2 linked regions of the Oreochromis niloticus genome follow. The protein of the gene in region 2 purifies or fractionates together with the protein of the main gene of each other region. This does not show direct contact. Links are inferred from orthologs where the notes say so. Each region holds a gene or a part of one and is shown on either strand. Other genes may lie near its edges.

Region 1 (7,807 bases), on a different chromosome or scaffold from region 2:
AGGAACTTGCGAGTGTCCGGGCCTCGGTGTTCAGCGGGGCCCTCGGCATCGCTGGTCCAAATTATTTATGAATCAAAGTATTGTCTTGCACAGCGGGGAGTTAAACACTTGGCTCACGCAGCAGATTCCTGTCTGCCTGTTACTGTACTCAGTGTGGTTTCATTGTGTTGATTTTGCGCAGCAGTAGCACTAACACTGAAAGTTACTGTGATGTGTCTTGAAGTATTAATCCTGTGATTTTTTTTTTTTTTTTTTTCCGCTCCATGTTTTTGATATGCAACCGTAACGTGCAATCATCATCGGATGTGAAGCTGTCTTCAGTGATAATGTGCAATTTGTAGGCCGCAAACCTACTCGGACAACAGCTTACTATTTTTAAAGTGGTGATTCAGTGATAGATTAAAGGACTGGGTCAATAATTTTTAATGGTAAACAAGTAGCCATTTCATTTTGTAGGGCTGGCTGGTGTAATAGCTTTCCTTAGCTATGTGGTGTACAGTATCTGCTTGTACAGTGTCAGCTGAAACTGATGTTTTATGTAAATGATGATTCCACACACGGGCCTTCAGTGAAAATACACTCACATGCTTTCGTCACTCGTTTCTTTGAAGAACACATCAGAGCATTAAACATGCAAAACAGGAAAAAAAACCCCACAATATTAGCTTGAAGTTGGTGTTTTGGGTCAAGATTTTAAAAAAATGTACATCCCAACTACACAATAATAAAGATGTTATTTTTTTAAGCCAACCACTCCGATCTGTCTTCTCACTTGAGGTTTTTGTGACTGCATACCTTTTGTGATGGGTTTCTTTATGAGGGTTTAGTGCAGTACTGGTTCGTGTTGTGGTTATTTCTTGATAATGGGATTATTTGTGGGCGGCACAGTGGTTAGCACTGTTGCCTCACAGCAAGGTCCTAAGGTTGACTCCATCATCTGGACGGGGCCTTTCTGTGTGGCCAACATGCTGTGCAGTGTGTGCTTACAAAATTGAAGGAAACTGGGCGAGTAATTACACAAGGACTGGACTGAAAATCAGTGGCAACAGGTCTCGGAGTGAGGGAGCCAAATCAAAAACGTCAAATCATCAATATGTACAGAGGTCTTCAGGAGAGGTCCAACAGTGAGTGCCTACAGCCATCTGTAAAACACGGTGGAGGGTCTGTCATGGTGTAGGGTTGCATTTCATCCAGTGGTTTTAGAGATCTTGTTAAAATTGATGGGATTTTAAACAGATTAATCAGATTTTGATCAACCAGGAAATACCATCTGGAAATGATCTGATTATCAACATTATTCGAGCAGTTTGGGATCATCTTTGAATGTCCTTCAAGAAGCCTGCAGAACTATTTCTAAAGACTCATTAAAGAAATGACAAGAGAGCTTACCTAAAAGACATCAGGCTGTGATTAAGAATAATGGTGATCAAATCAAATGTTGACTTACAAGCTGTTCTGCCTTTAAAAAAAGTATTTCTATGTGCGTTTATACCTTCCAATTAATCGCTGCATTTCCTACTTTCTTAGCAAAATATAAATATGGGGTGATTTAACACTTATGCACAGTCAAACGCATGAACCATGGTATCACAATGGAAACTTGGGAAGTTGCAAAGCTATCTTGCCATCATTGTAAAGTTAATTTGGCTGCATCCTCTTCAAGCCAGGACAGAAACACATTCGGATTAGGTTGTGAATGTGAACAAATACCGTCAGACGCAACGATTCACACCCTGCCTGCACTTCCCCTTCCTGGGGGCTGAAACGGCGCACAGCAGCTACGCATAAGGCAAAATGTGGTTAAAGGGCAGGCTAAGAACAACTTCCTCTGAAACAGAGCAAATCCATTTATAGGAACAGCAACAGCGCAGCAAAAACGTCAGCTTTCAAACACAAACGGGTATAAACAACTGAGTTTTATTATATTTCCGTATCTTCTTGCATGACTGATGGCAGTTTCTTTACAGTGAGCTCTTTCTACGTGTGACTTAACACTTCCACAAACAAGTATGTCCTGAACAGAGAAAATTTGGAGACAAATTTAAAACGACAGCAACAGAACACACAGACAAAAAAATACAAAATTCTGGTGAGTTTTATTTGGAACAGCACAGCCTCAGTGATCCTGTACTCATGGTTATCAACTTGATTAATACTTTAAGGACCCGCCTTTGTTTGGGGATTTGTTCTAAGTGGCTGAAAATGAAACTGTAAATATTTCATTATGTACAGTCATTGATATTCATGAGTACAGGAAGACACTCGGGTGTAAAGGGTAATCAAAGGGTATCAAAGCCAGATTGGTCACGTTCCTCTCCTCTCGGGTCGGCTGCTTACTCCTTTAACTCTCCACTCTTGTGCTGAGTGGCCCTTGGAACATTCCCAGGGTGGCACGGGGCAAACACTAACGCTTCCATCAGAACTGTAAAGACAATAGAATCAAATTAACACGAGGCAATAATAAAAGCGGAGCCGCTGCAGGGAGAGAACAAGTTACTTACATTCTTGAGGAATTCTTCGGCAACGATACGGGCCCTGGCGTTAACTGAAAGTTTCATCTCACTGATCTCCTTGTCGATCTCCTCCATGAAGTGGATGACAAAGTCCACCAACTTGTGTTTGTACATCTGCTCCGTGTGGAAGTTGGTAATCAAGAAGCTAATATCATATCCCTAAAATAAGAGTGGAAAAAAGAAAAGACACCATTTGTGTTACTGCATTAAAGCTAGTGTAATTACTGAGATATTTATTATTGTTTCCTTCTTTTGCTTGCTCCCTTTAGGGGTCAACACAGCGGATCATCTGCTCCAACTTCCCCCCCATCCCTAACATCCTCCCCTGCTGCACCAACCCTCTTCTGGATCTTCTCTATTGAGGTGTTTACTGTCTGTATGATGTATCTAAAACATGCATGCATGAAGAGCTTTATGACTCATTTAAAAAGCTCCCACACTTCCTCGTTTTCTACGTGGTATTCTTCCTCTGATACTGTTAATAAGTACTGATTTCTCTTTCGTCACTCGCTGTCTCTTACCTCTACTGGCTTCCTCCGCAGAATGAAGAAGTTCTCTGCTCTCATCATCATGAAGCGCATAAACTTGTGGCAAAGGATCTTCTCGATCTCATCGGCCTGCAGTCGATCAGTAGTTTTTAAAGAGTGTTAGAATATTCTGGAAAGTCATAACCACAATAAAAGTTAAAACCATGCTAGCTCTACTGACCTGCTTGACAGCAATACTGACTCTGACGGAGTTGATGGATCCCTCGATGAGAACCTTCTCCTTGTCATTACGGCTGATCACCACCGGCTGAAGCAGCAGCTCCTTACTGCTCCTGTAACAACAGCAAAAACAGTCCTTCTAAACACAGTGAAACTCAACGTTATGCTCGAGACCCCGCAACACTGAACGGGAAGGACACCTGCGAACAAGCTGAGGCAAGTCCCTTCAGTCCAACTTTAAAGCCTTGCCCTTGCTTGTAGCCATTTTTCTTCCCTCCTTGATTTTCTTATGCAAGTTTGCACATGACTGAACTCGTCTGCCAGCAGCTGATCATACTACACACATCTTTAGGGCAGGAGAAACATGAGGAAGCACAGGGTGGGAAGCAGCAGGGGACAAACCAGTGAGACTCAACTGAGTGCTGCTAAACATACCTGACCTCCACCTCTGGCTTGTTATGGCGCTCCACCACCTGAGAGGAGAAGTTCTCCAGACATAGGGCTGCCTGCAAGGTGGCCCTCACAGCGTTTAAGTAGGGGCGCAGAGTCGCTGTCTGAGGAGAAAAGTAATAAAAAGGTCAATACCTGGGAGGATTCGGGCACATGCAATGAGATCCTTCCAGTTGAATAAAGGTAAATCGCCCAGCAGGGACTGGTATTTAAGGTTACGCATGACAATAATCCGTGTGCAAGTCTCACTTGACAGCTATCTGTTATCACAGGCAGAATGAACAAGTATCTACTAATGCTACGTAGCTACGTGTAGATCTGTCTGCGATATGAATGCAGAAGAGGATGTGATGCCTTCAGGTGATCGACACTGCAGCTCATCCAAATTATTTACTGTTTATACCAGTTTTTCCACAGTTTAAGGACAAACTGTGGTGGTCACAGAAACGAGCAGAAAAGGAAACGAGAGGAAAAGACAGCTCAGTCAATCTGTTTCTGCAAACCGTATCAAGGATGCCCGTAATCTCATTTTGCTGCAGCCAACCAGAAACCACGTCTACAAGGAACACACAGCTAGCTAGCTAATCTTAAGGTAAATGTGGCAGTAGTTAGTTGGGGTAATTGGCTAAATAATTAAATATAAAGCTGAGTATTGTGCTGGAGACTTACCATTTTTGACCTGTAAAAGACGGAAGTTCCTCAGCCACGCCTGGGACGACTCTTCCGTAAATCCTACATAGTCAAGAAAATCTATGGTGTGTTCGTTTTGATGCAAGTCTTAGTCTAATGAATAGTTTTTACCCACCCAGCGCAAATGTCACGGTTCGCGTTTATTTCTCCGCCCAGGTGGAGTGTATTTTTAATCAAAACGAGCACACCCTAGGGTGTTCCCATTCTGCACTATGAAGAGGGGACAACGGCTGTTGTCTCACGAGTTTTTATTTTTACCTTATATGGTTTTGATAGTTAGATGTCAATTATCAAGATTAACGTACACAAACTATACTGTCTAACTTCCAAATTAAAAGCTTGGCAGCAAATATTTTTTTTAATACGCCTAGACACAAAATGGTTTGGTATCATCCGATGATACCATTGTGATAGACTACTCAACAGGCTCTATGAAGCGCCAAGTCTCCAGACTCTGTATTCTCAGACCTATCACTTTTTAAATTGCTTTTACAACTTAAAATGCCTGGTTAGGTTTTTTAAAAAATTTAACTAACTCATTTTTTCCCCAGAATCGTCATTATATATAAAATGGGACATCATTTTAGGTGAATAATTTTAGCACACACCCCTCTTACCACAATGGTTTCACCCATCATGGACGCCATTCAGTGAAGGTAACTAGCGCTGCTCTAAAACATTATACACATTATAATTTGTGCGCTATATTTGTGTGGCGTGGGTTTAAAACGCCCACATTTAAAGCGTCTGTGCGCATATCATGAATATAAAAGAAACCCTTGTTAGAATTTAAACGTATTCTCCAGCATTTCGGGCCCAACGAGCCTGCGCTCTTTAAAGCAGTCCTGATTGTACGTGCGGCCGTACGTAAGTGTTTCTGAATTTGTGTGTGAGAGCTACAGGCACAGAGCTGGACTCACATTGTATGTCAGTCTGATAATCTAATGAATACTTTGTCCTATGCCAGTAAAATCACTGTCAGGTCTTTGCTGCAATACATCATGAGTGAGCTGAAGGACTGCCCCCCACTGAAATACTACGACTTTAAGCCCGTGGAGCATGTCAAGGTATGCCCCCGCTACACTGCTGTGCTGGGCCGCTCAGAGGATGATGGCATCGGCATCGAAGAGCTGGATACCCTGCAGTTGGAGCTGGAGACACTGCTGTCCTCAGCTACCCGCCGCCTACGAGCATTGGAAGAGCAGAGACAGGTAGGAACAAGCTGGTGACCTCTCTTCTTTCATGTCACTTTTCTTTTAACCATAAGGTTTTCATCTCTAAGCATCTAGATGCAGCCTTGTATATTAAAGGCTATCATAATTTTCTCAGATCCTTACAGACTGGCAAGATAAGAAGGGAGATAAACGCTTTCTGAAGCTGGGGAAAGACCCAGACCCCGCTGCCTCATCTCGCCACAAACCAAAGAAGCAGAAATTGGACGGCAAAGGAGGTCATGGGCCAGGCCAAGGTCCCGGCAGACCCAAAACCAAAAACCTGCAGCCAAAAGTACAAGAGTATGAATTTACAGATGACCCTCAAGACATTCCCCGCAACCCTAAAAATGATGCGCCCAACAGGTCTGCAACAACATACAAATTATATCTGCTTAGTTTTATTTTCTCTTTAATGTTTCTTTTTTTCCTTCTAATTTTTAAGTCCTTCTCAGATGTGTGTTTTAGCAAGAAAAACACTTTATTCTTATATTACCTTGTAATATTTCTGTTTTTAAGATTCTGGGCCTCAGTGGAGCCATACTGTGCAGATATTACAAATGAAGAAATACGATTGTTAGAGGAGCTTCTTAAACCACCAGAGGATGAAGCAGACTACTTCAAGGTATGACATAAAGAGCCATGTACCCAATGTTATGTTACAAATAACTGTATCCAATGCAGTGAATAAGAGTGTTTTGAGGTTTGGGGCTGATCTGTGTTAATGGTAGATTCCAGCATTGGGAAAACACTACTCTCAGCGGTGGGCTCAGGAGGATCTGCTGGAGGAGCAGAGGGAAGGAGCACGAGCCAACGACAAAAAGAAAAGCGTCATGGGAGGGCCGCTTTCTGAACTGGACGCAAAAGGTGAGGGGAAGGCTCACCTGCGCCTACTTATGACTGTGCATGAACTAGTAACTCCACCTTAACACTAACTTTTATCTTCACCTGCTGTAGATGTGGACTCGCTGCTGAAAAAGTCAGAATCCCAACACGAATCTCCAGAAGACGGTTGTCCCTTTGGTCCTCTTACACAGCGTCTGCTGCAGGCTCTTGTAGAGGTCAGACTCATCATTTTGTGACCAGCTTTTGCCATGATAAAGCTTGTAATAATGCATCATTGCGTTTTAAAAAATACAAATAATAATATACATATAAATACATGAGCATGGTTTCTTCCAGGAGAACATTATATCCCCCATGGAGGATTCCCCTATACCGGACATTTCAGGAAAGGATGCTAACGATGGTGCTGGGACTTCACCTCGAAGCCAAGGAAAAGCTTTTAGGTATAATGTCAGCATCAAATACATTTTTGATATATTACATGAGAGGACCTCCTGAAATAGCAGCCATTTTTAAACACAATCTCCTCATCCACACAGACCTCGGTATCCTCAGCATGAAACAAAAGAAAAACTGCATTCAATCTTTTTTAGGATGTTTTGGCAGGTCGGCAACTAATTCTTCAAAGTACCTCAATTTATTGTCTGCTTTCATGCAGCTGTGCATGCACACACAAACGTGGATGTTTATTCCTGTCCATTATATTTAAAGGGAAGAATTGGTTCTAGATTTAAGATGGTAACATTTTAAATGTATGACACTCGTTGGTTCTTTTACTGGTGTTTTCCGCTCTGCATCTGCATATTTCTTACGATCTTTGCCATCTTTAGCGTTCCTCATACGCGTTCCCTGGAGGCTCGAATCAAAGAGGAGCTGGTAGCCCAGGGGTTGCTGGATTCCGAGGAGCGACCTGGCCAGGGAGGAGACTCTGAGGATGAGGTCCTTGCAGAGCTGCAGAAGAGACAAGCAGAACTCAAAGCCCTGAGCGCTCACAACCGAGCCAGAAAGCAGGAGCTGCTACGGTGAGGACAGAGAGCAGCAGTGGTTCTGTTTGCCACCTAAGTGAAACTGTACATCTGTTAGAGATCTTTGATCACATGAAACTCTGGATTTGCTGTTTTTTCCCAGGTTGGCAAAAGAGGAGATGCGCAAACAGGAGTTAAGGCAGAGAGTCAGGGTGTCTGACAATGAGGTGATGGAGGCATTTCGGCGAATCATGGCAGCCAGGCAGAAGAAACGTACCCCAACTAAGAAGGAGAAAGATCAGGCCTGGAAAGCACTGAAGGAGAGGGAAAGCATTCTCAAATTACTGGATGGATAGAGGAAACCACAGTTTCTGTGGTGAAAAAAATATTGGAAGAAACCTCTTCAACCTAACCCACGGCTCAAA
Region 2 (7,042 bases):
CTGAGATAAACTTCTGAGATGCGAGGGAGATCAGACGAATTCTATGCATGGAAGAAAATAATTAATACCTTTTTCCCTTGATGTTTACAGCCCACCTGTATCCTTATTTTGAAAAACACCACACACATAAACCTCAGATTTTCTATGATCTTGTTCAGAGTGATCACAAAGCTGACATTAACGAGTCTTACAAGGTTAGAGATGTTGCATTTTGGTTAAAAGGTTAAAGCCAGTTTGTTTTAAGCAAATCTAAATCAGCCAACACTCCCTGTAACATCAGAAAGCACGGTGCAACCTAACTAATACAGCATTAAGATAAGAAATGCTGTATACCATTGGGAAATTCTTTAAATTATGACAATATAGTCATTTATTTGTGACTTCAACATGTTCCCATTGCCAGATTACATTAATTTCTGACTCATTCAGTGCCTTGAACTAAGGTTTTTATTGGTGAACTCATATTATATAAAGGCTTTTAAGTCAGCTGTTAAGTAAATTGGTGGCTATCAATCAAACCTCTGAACGTACCAACTATGAGCAGCCTTATGATTTGTGCTGTAATGTACTCCTCCATGTGTGCACACTGACAGATACAAAGCTGTTCCTAGTATACAATTTCTCAGTCTACCTAAAGGACACATGCACAGGTGGAGGTTTTTTACTGACATTACATTAGACATTACATTACACTGACATTAGAGCAGAATCGAGTGCATCTCACCCTCACATTTGCCTCTGATGACATTTTTTTTATCACTTAGATCCATGCATCCCTGCAGATGCCAAAAGATCTGAATACTACACTGCATGTACTCACATCCTTGGATCAGAAGCCTCAAAACCAGCCCGGTTGAGGTAGTAACCTGTGACTGCATCAGGAATCTGGTGGGAAAAAAACAAAAACAAAGAATAACTACTAATGTATATGTCACTAATATTATTAGTGCACATGTACCAATCAAGGACTGATTAAGAAACATTTCTGTCAAAAATGTGTGAAAGTATGATGTAGCGGGGCTAACTGACTTACCGTGGGAGTGTACTCTTCCAGCTGCATGAGGAAATCAGCCAGTGGCGTGGTGGAAACAGCAGGCTTCACATCTCCATTAGTGATGCCACCAGGAACATAGACTCCATTGGAAACAGATGTGTCTGCAGACGGTGTCACCACAGCTGATGAGGATGAAGCTATAAAAGACACATCAAGCAATGTCTGAGATAAACTTCTGAGATGCGAGGGAGATCAGACGAATTCTATGCATGGAAAAAAGAAAATAATTAATGCCATCTGTCTTGTCAGTCCAAAATGTGAACATTGGTATCATCAAAAGAGTGTAGCTGTGCATCCGCACCTAAAGGATAAGTTGTGGCTTTTGCTGCTTGGTTATTTGGCCAGTGGTGTTGAGGATTTTGGTAAAGTTGATGAAATTATAAACACACTTGAATAGGGTTAGATTTTGATATCCACCACAAAATACCATCTGGAAACAGTTTCATTTTTCAGCATGACAATGATGCCAAACACACTGCTAATGCATTTAAAAAAAAAAAAAAAAAAAAAAAACCTGGAAAGAAAAAATATACAATTAAGCACTATCAGTCATGGATCAGGATCCCAAAGACCAGACTTCAACTTTACTGAAACAGTCTTGGACCATCTTCACAGACAACAGAGCAAAAGGCAGCCAACATCCAAAGAAGCTTTAGATGTAATTCAAGAAGCCTGGAGAACTATTGCTAAAGAGTACTTAGAGAAGTAGTCTCCAATTTTTACATGAAAATTAAATCCATTTTAAGGATGGGGCCTAAGGGAACATCTTCCACCATCACTAATTCCCCAACTCTCTCTAAACAGTACTCATGGCCATTAATCAATGATCATGACAATTTGTATATTAGTAATCAGGAAACTGACCTAACAGTTAATCAGTTGCGGGACCCCACAGTCAGCTGAAACTGAAGAGGTCACTTGCATGAGTGACACAACATACCTCAACAGTCAGATAAATAGAATCAACTTTCTGTGACTACTTAAAGAACCTACAAGAAAGCTTGCCTGAGAGGATTCAAGGCCTTTTAAATAATAAAGGTGGTCATATCAAATATTCACTTTATTTTCAAGCTTGTTAGAATTGCACAAACTCTGTTTTTGCCTTATATACCAACATTTTTCAATGCACTGCACCCATTTCCAATTTTCCCTTGCAAAATATAAAGAAATCAGGGATGGCTTGAGACTTTTGCAAAGTACTGTACAAACAATCTAAAAAATTGCTACAATGGTTAAGTTAGTGCTACAGGCTTAACCTGAAACGTGGTACTTGGTAGGTTTTGTAATTAATATGTTTAAATCACTTTAAAGTGTTAGACGGCAATCTAACACTTTAAAGTGTTAGATTGCCGTCTAAAACCTACCTTAATGCATTACACTTTGATGCATTAAGGTAGGTTTCGCTGATGGTGTTTAGGTTAGTACGCGTTTCTCTCAGTCAGGCTTGGTATTGTTGTCAATAGTCAATGTACATCGTGGAAAGTTTCGACTTCCAGTGCGAGATGAAATCAGCAAATGCTCTCAGAATAATAACAAAGACAATAACAAAGTCACGTTACGTTACCATTACTCGTGACCGACGGGATGCTGCTCACGTTGGTTGTCGTATTATCGTTGGCAATGCAATTACTTGCCGTTGACGATGTGGTAGAAGGCACTCCTGTTGTTACAGACTGATTTACGTTGTCCATATTCATGCTGGCGTTAGCTAACGAGCTAACCGTGGTTAACTAGCACCGAAATATGCAAAACACCACAAATCCGCGATTTATAGCTGTAAGACAAGTATTCTACAAAATACTGTTTTAGTATAAGTCTACCCTTTCATTCAAAGAAATTAATTATCAAAACTGAAAAACTATAACTCGTAGCAGAAGTGTTTCTAAGACCTTTGCAGTAAAACGCTGAGCCACTACTGTTAGATCACGTCATGTGACATAGAGGCGTTCTCTTCTTCTATGTTGACTGCACACCGCCGCCTACGCCCCCTGCCGTAGCGGAGACTGTAGGCAATACATTAATACACTTTCTTTATATTTAAAGAATTTAATTCAGATTTGAATTTCACTAACTCACTGACCTGCATTGGACTCTTTTCAGAAGTTTTTACAGCCTTGCCAAGAGTAAATAGACGTCAACACATAATGACAGCAGCGATAAACAGCAAAATGACAACCTAAAGTCAATAAAGATGAACAGCAGCCATAGATGTTTTGTTGTTTGTTTGCAAAGTGCGATCTATTGAGATCTAGCGGTTAGATTGTACACACCATAGCTTTATAAACAGAGATTCACCGCTTCTCTTGTGAGAAGTGGCAGTTTACGAGGTGCACTGAATGCAGCAGAGCGATCTCGTGCACACTGCAGGGGGCGTTAAGGGATTGTCGGACATTTTCTCGGTTGATATTCTGGTTCGAAGAAGTGAGTCAGTCTTTCACTAGAGTGGACTGTCTGCTGGGCTCTGGACAAATTGTAGTCCTGTATTCATCTGACCAAAGCGGGAGACGGACGTTTGTGACAGTTGTATGGGACAAAACAGGTACTGTCAGGCTTTATAAACGTACAAGTACAATTCACCACAAACGCCGATTAACGACTTTCACAAGCTTCCTCTTATTCCCTGTTCAGTAATCACTCAGGGCTTGAATTGTTAGTTTAGTCCACTTTTAAATGATTGACAATTTTGTGCCTATCTCTGTGAGTTTAACGTGTTTACATATCGACGTATTAAGGGAAGTATAATGCATCTGTGGAGGACTGCTCAGGACTGCTCAACCTGTAATCTCACGATTATTTATTCTCTTGGGTTTTGTGGCATTGTAACTACAAGCTTTAATTTGTGTCAAAGTTCACAGGCTGGCAAAATGACTGCTCCTGTCCTTGTGATCGTGGTGGGAGGAGGATGTCGGGGTGAAATCTACTCCCAGTATGCGTCTATTCATCCTCAACGAATGAAGGTTAGAAGAGGCTTGTGTTTCTGAGGGAAATATTTGGCAAAAGCATGTCTTCGGAAATGTCGAAAGGAAATGGATGAAAAGTGAAATTACTCCCCTTACCCTTCTTTGCTCAAGTGATTGATGTAACCTGTTCCTACCGATGTCACGTAGTTCGTTGTAATGTTTAACAGGGCGTACCTTGATTTATTTACTTTGACCCGCTCAGGTTGTTGCAGTGGCTGATCCACGGAAATTTGCAAGGAGCAAACTTCAAAAACAACACAAAATCGAAGAGGAAAACGTATTTGAAGGTGAGAGAGAAAAAGTATTAAACATTTATAATTATCTGCCCTGTCCTTACTGAATCCTCTTTTATCCAGACTGGCAGGCTGTAGTTGAAAGAGACAAGTTTGCAGACGCTGTGTTAATTTGCACCCCAGATCGCCTCCATAAGGTAAACACTGTCTGCAGCAACTATTTTTGGTTTAAATTACTTTGAAATGTTCTTTCTGTAATTATTACAGTGATCGTATTTATGCTTCCTAGGAACCTGCTGTGGCCTTTGCAAAGAAGGGATACCATGTTCTTCTGGAGAAACCAATGGCAGTGAGTGTTTATGGGTGTTACTGATGAACTGATTTTGCAGTAATGAGTAATCTCTGATTTGCACCAAAAGTTTTATTGTCTGAAGTTTGGACACACAGAATGCTGTGAAAATTTAGCTTCCTTTTAAAAATACTTTTTAACTTATATTATTTAGAAAAATGGCCCATTGAACCTCTTTCAGACCATTTTTTTAGCTTTCTAAAATCTGAGGCAGTGTTCTAACAAGATTTTCAACATCAAACTAAGAGATTTTCTTAGAGTACCTTCTGGAAATTTGTTGTATTTGGACAGGACAGTCTAAAATGTAATGTTAAAAGTAATCTGTGTTGTCTTTTACACTGCTGTGAATTATTCTTTAGAAATGATCATAATTGATGCAATGATCATAATTTGTGGCAATGTGAACTTTATTATTAGTGTGTGCTCAAATATGGGACTTTACAGGACACCTTTAACTGACTGATACTTAGACGTTTTTTTTATGTATCTGTTCAAAATTACAGATGGCAAGAAAGACCAGTGAAAATTTCAGGCTTTTATCTTGAATAGTGTTTTAAATTTTCATGTTCAAAAAGGTGTTCAATGTACAAAAAAAAGACTTCTGAAAGTGGGTCGACAGATCATTTATTCAAAGAAAGGACATCTTGAAAAGCATTTGATACATGAAGCTAAAATTTTACAGCAATCGTTCTACGTGTCCAAACTTTAAAGCTTTAAAATCTGCTAATTTGAGCTAGAATGACCCAACAGTTGTTTTAGTTGCTTTCACGATTCACTATTCTGAGTAAAAGCTTCAACAAAATCACACACCCTCCGTATTTTACATCAAACTGAAGCACAGCGTCTCTCTTTAATGTCCCGACATGACTTCAGACAACTGCAGAAGACTGCACGGCGATTGTGGAGGCTTGCATTCAGAGCGGCGTGATGCTGTCCGTGGGTCATGTTCTCCGGTACGATCCAGTCATCCACAAGATAAAAGTGAGCTTTGTCTTGTGCACTTACTTTATCCAGCTGTGACAGTTTTCTTCAGCACGTAGTGGAATCTACTTGGGGGTTCAAACACTTAAACTTCATCTGCCTAAAATCTGTAGGAACGCTTCCTCATTTGAAACAGCCACACATTTACAGAATCAGCAGGATTGAGGAAAAATAAGCAAACAGAGCTCTCTTTTGTGTTTGTGAAAGTGCAAAAAAAATCCCTCAAAAACAGCATTTTAATAAACAGTGTTGAAGCTGTTTCGACTTGATGAAGTCAAAACTACAATTTTCTCATACTTGGGAAAGTGGTAAAGAAAATGTACATAATCTGTATGAGGGTTTTGCCGTTTTTTATTAATAAGAATAAATTATGTTTTACAGGAGCTCATAGACGCTGGAGTCATAGGTGATGTGATCCATATTCAGCACCTGGAACCGGTGAGCAGGCAGATACGATAGAAACATAATAATTACTATTATTATTGTTAACCCAGTGAATTTAACATTGATATGTTGATTTTTCTTTTGTTGTTAATATCATATTAGAACATAACACAACGGTCTGTTTGAAATAATTTCATAATTAACATATTCATTAAGAAAGTCATAATTTGAAAGCATTTGCACATAGTTGTGGCCTGTGGACAAATTTGCAGCAGTGTATGTTTTTGTTATGTTTTGGGTTTACGGGTTTTTTAAGTGTTATTCAATTCAAGTTTCTGCAGCATGGTTAAAAAGAGAATCGATCTCTTTCTTCCAGGTTGGGTTTTATCACTTTGCTCATTCGTTTGTTAGAGGGAACTGGAGAAACGAAGCAGAGAGCTCTTTTGCTCTTCTGGCTAAATCTTGCCATGACATTGACCTCATACATCACTGGGCTGGAGGACGCAGGTAGATCATTAGACAGTGTTCAGTGATTAAACTCCAGGCTTAGTGTTCAATAGTACGATTTCTTTTCTCCTTTCTTTTGGCCTAAAACAGCTAGAAAACTACATGTTTACCCCAATTTTGTTGGACTAGAGGTAAATGGGGGTGTTTTTTGTGAAGTTTGACTATTTACTCTGGCAATTTGTTCTTGGCAGGTGTGTGAAAGTGTCGTCATTTGGATCAGTCAGCCACTTCAATAAAGAAAACAAGGTATGTTGTCTGTTCAGTCATGAAATGAAGGTAATCAGTAGCCATGGCGGGTAGAAATCTCTGTACTAAGCCTGAATATAAAATGTGACGTTGCTAGTTTTGTGTCAGCCAGCAGGGGCTGCAGATCGCTGCCTTAACTGTTCAGTAGAAAAAGACTGTCCGTACTCAGCATGCAAAATCTACTTGGACAGTGTGAAGAAGGTAAACATTTTACCACTTTACTTTCACCATTTATGTACTTTTTTTTTTTTGTTTTTACACACTTCTTATAAATAATTTAGGTGTGTTGTATGTTTGTGTACTAGGGTCACACTGGCTGGCCAGTATC

What was found.
Region 1: the proteins of taf10 (region 2) and tada3l purify together in Homo sapiens (affinity purification with mass spectrometry; 5 studies listed by BioGRID and IntAct, counting the BioPlex papers as one, with this or other methods). This does not show direct contact. The link is inferred for Oreochromis niloticus from reciprocal best matches to the Homo sapiens genes TAF10 and TADA3.

Annotation. Positions count from the first base shown.
Region 1 is NC_031970.2:30,393,611-30,401,417, forward strand, and holds the start of tada3l (transcriptional adapter 3), read left to right. Parts: upstream 1-4,776; 5' UTR 4,777-5,016; intron 5,017-5,026; exon of another isoform or gene 5,027-5,227; intron 5,228-5,327; 5' UTR 5,328-5,361; coding exon 5,362-5,571; intron 5,572-5,689; coding exon 5,690-5,937; intron 5,938-6,090; coding exon 6,091-6,196; intron 6,197-6,302; coding exon 6,303-6,438; intron 6,439-6,528; coding exon 6,529-6,632; intron 6,633-6,753; coding exon 6,754-6,860; intron 6,861-7,247; coding exon 7,248-7,439; intron 7,440-7,545; coding exon 7,546-7,738; 3' UTR 7,739-7,807. Other genes in the region: actin-related protein 2/3 complex subunit 4, read right to left, coding at 2,417-2,422, 2,502-2,672, 3,035-3,130, 3,222-3,333, 3,656-3,774, 4,340-4,342. UniProt on the Homo sapiens protein: Functions as a component of the PCAF complex. The PCAF complex is capable of efficiently acetylating histones in a nucleosomal context. The PCAF complex could be considered as the human version of the yeast SAGA complex.
Region 2 is NC_031984.2:24,229,778-24,236,819, forward strand, and holds the start of taf10 (transcription initiation factor TFIID subunit 10), read right to left. Parts: upstream 3,007-7,042; 5' UTR 2,752-3,006; coding exon 2,619-2,751; intron 1,192-2,618; coding exon 1,034-1,191; intron 886-1,033; coding exon 821-885; intron 42-820; coding exon 1-41. Other genes in the region: uncharacterized protein zgc:154075, read left to right, coding at 3,580-3,593, 3,903-4,011, 4,217-4,301, 4,371-4,444, 4,537-4,596, 5,470-5,577, 5,959-6,015, 6,338-6,468 and 3 more. UniProt on the Homo sapiens protein: The TFIID basal transcription factor complex plays a major role in the initiation of RNA polymerase II (Pol II)-dependent transcription.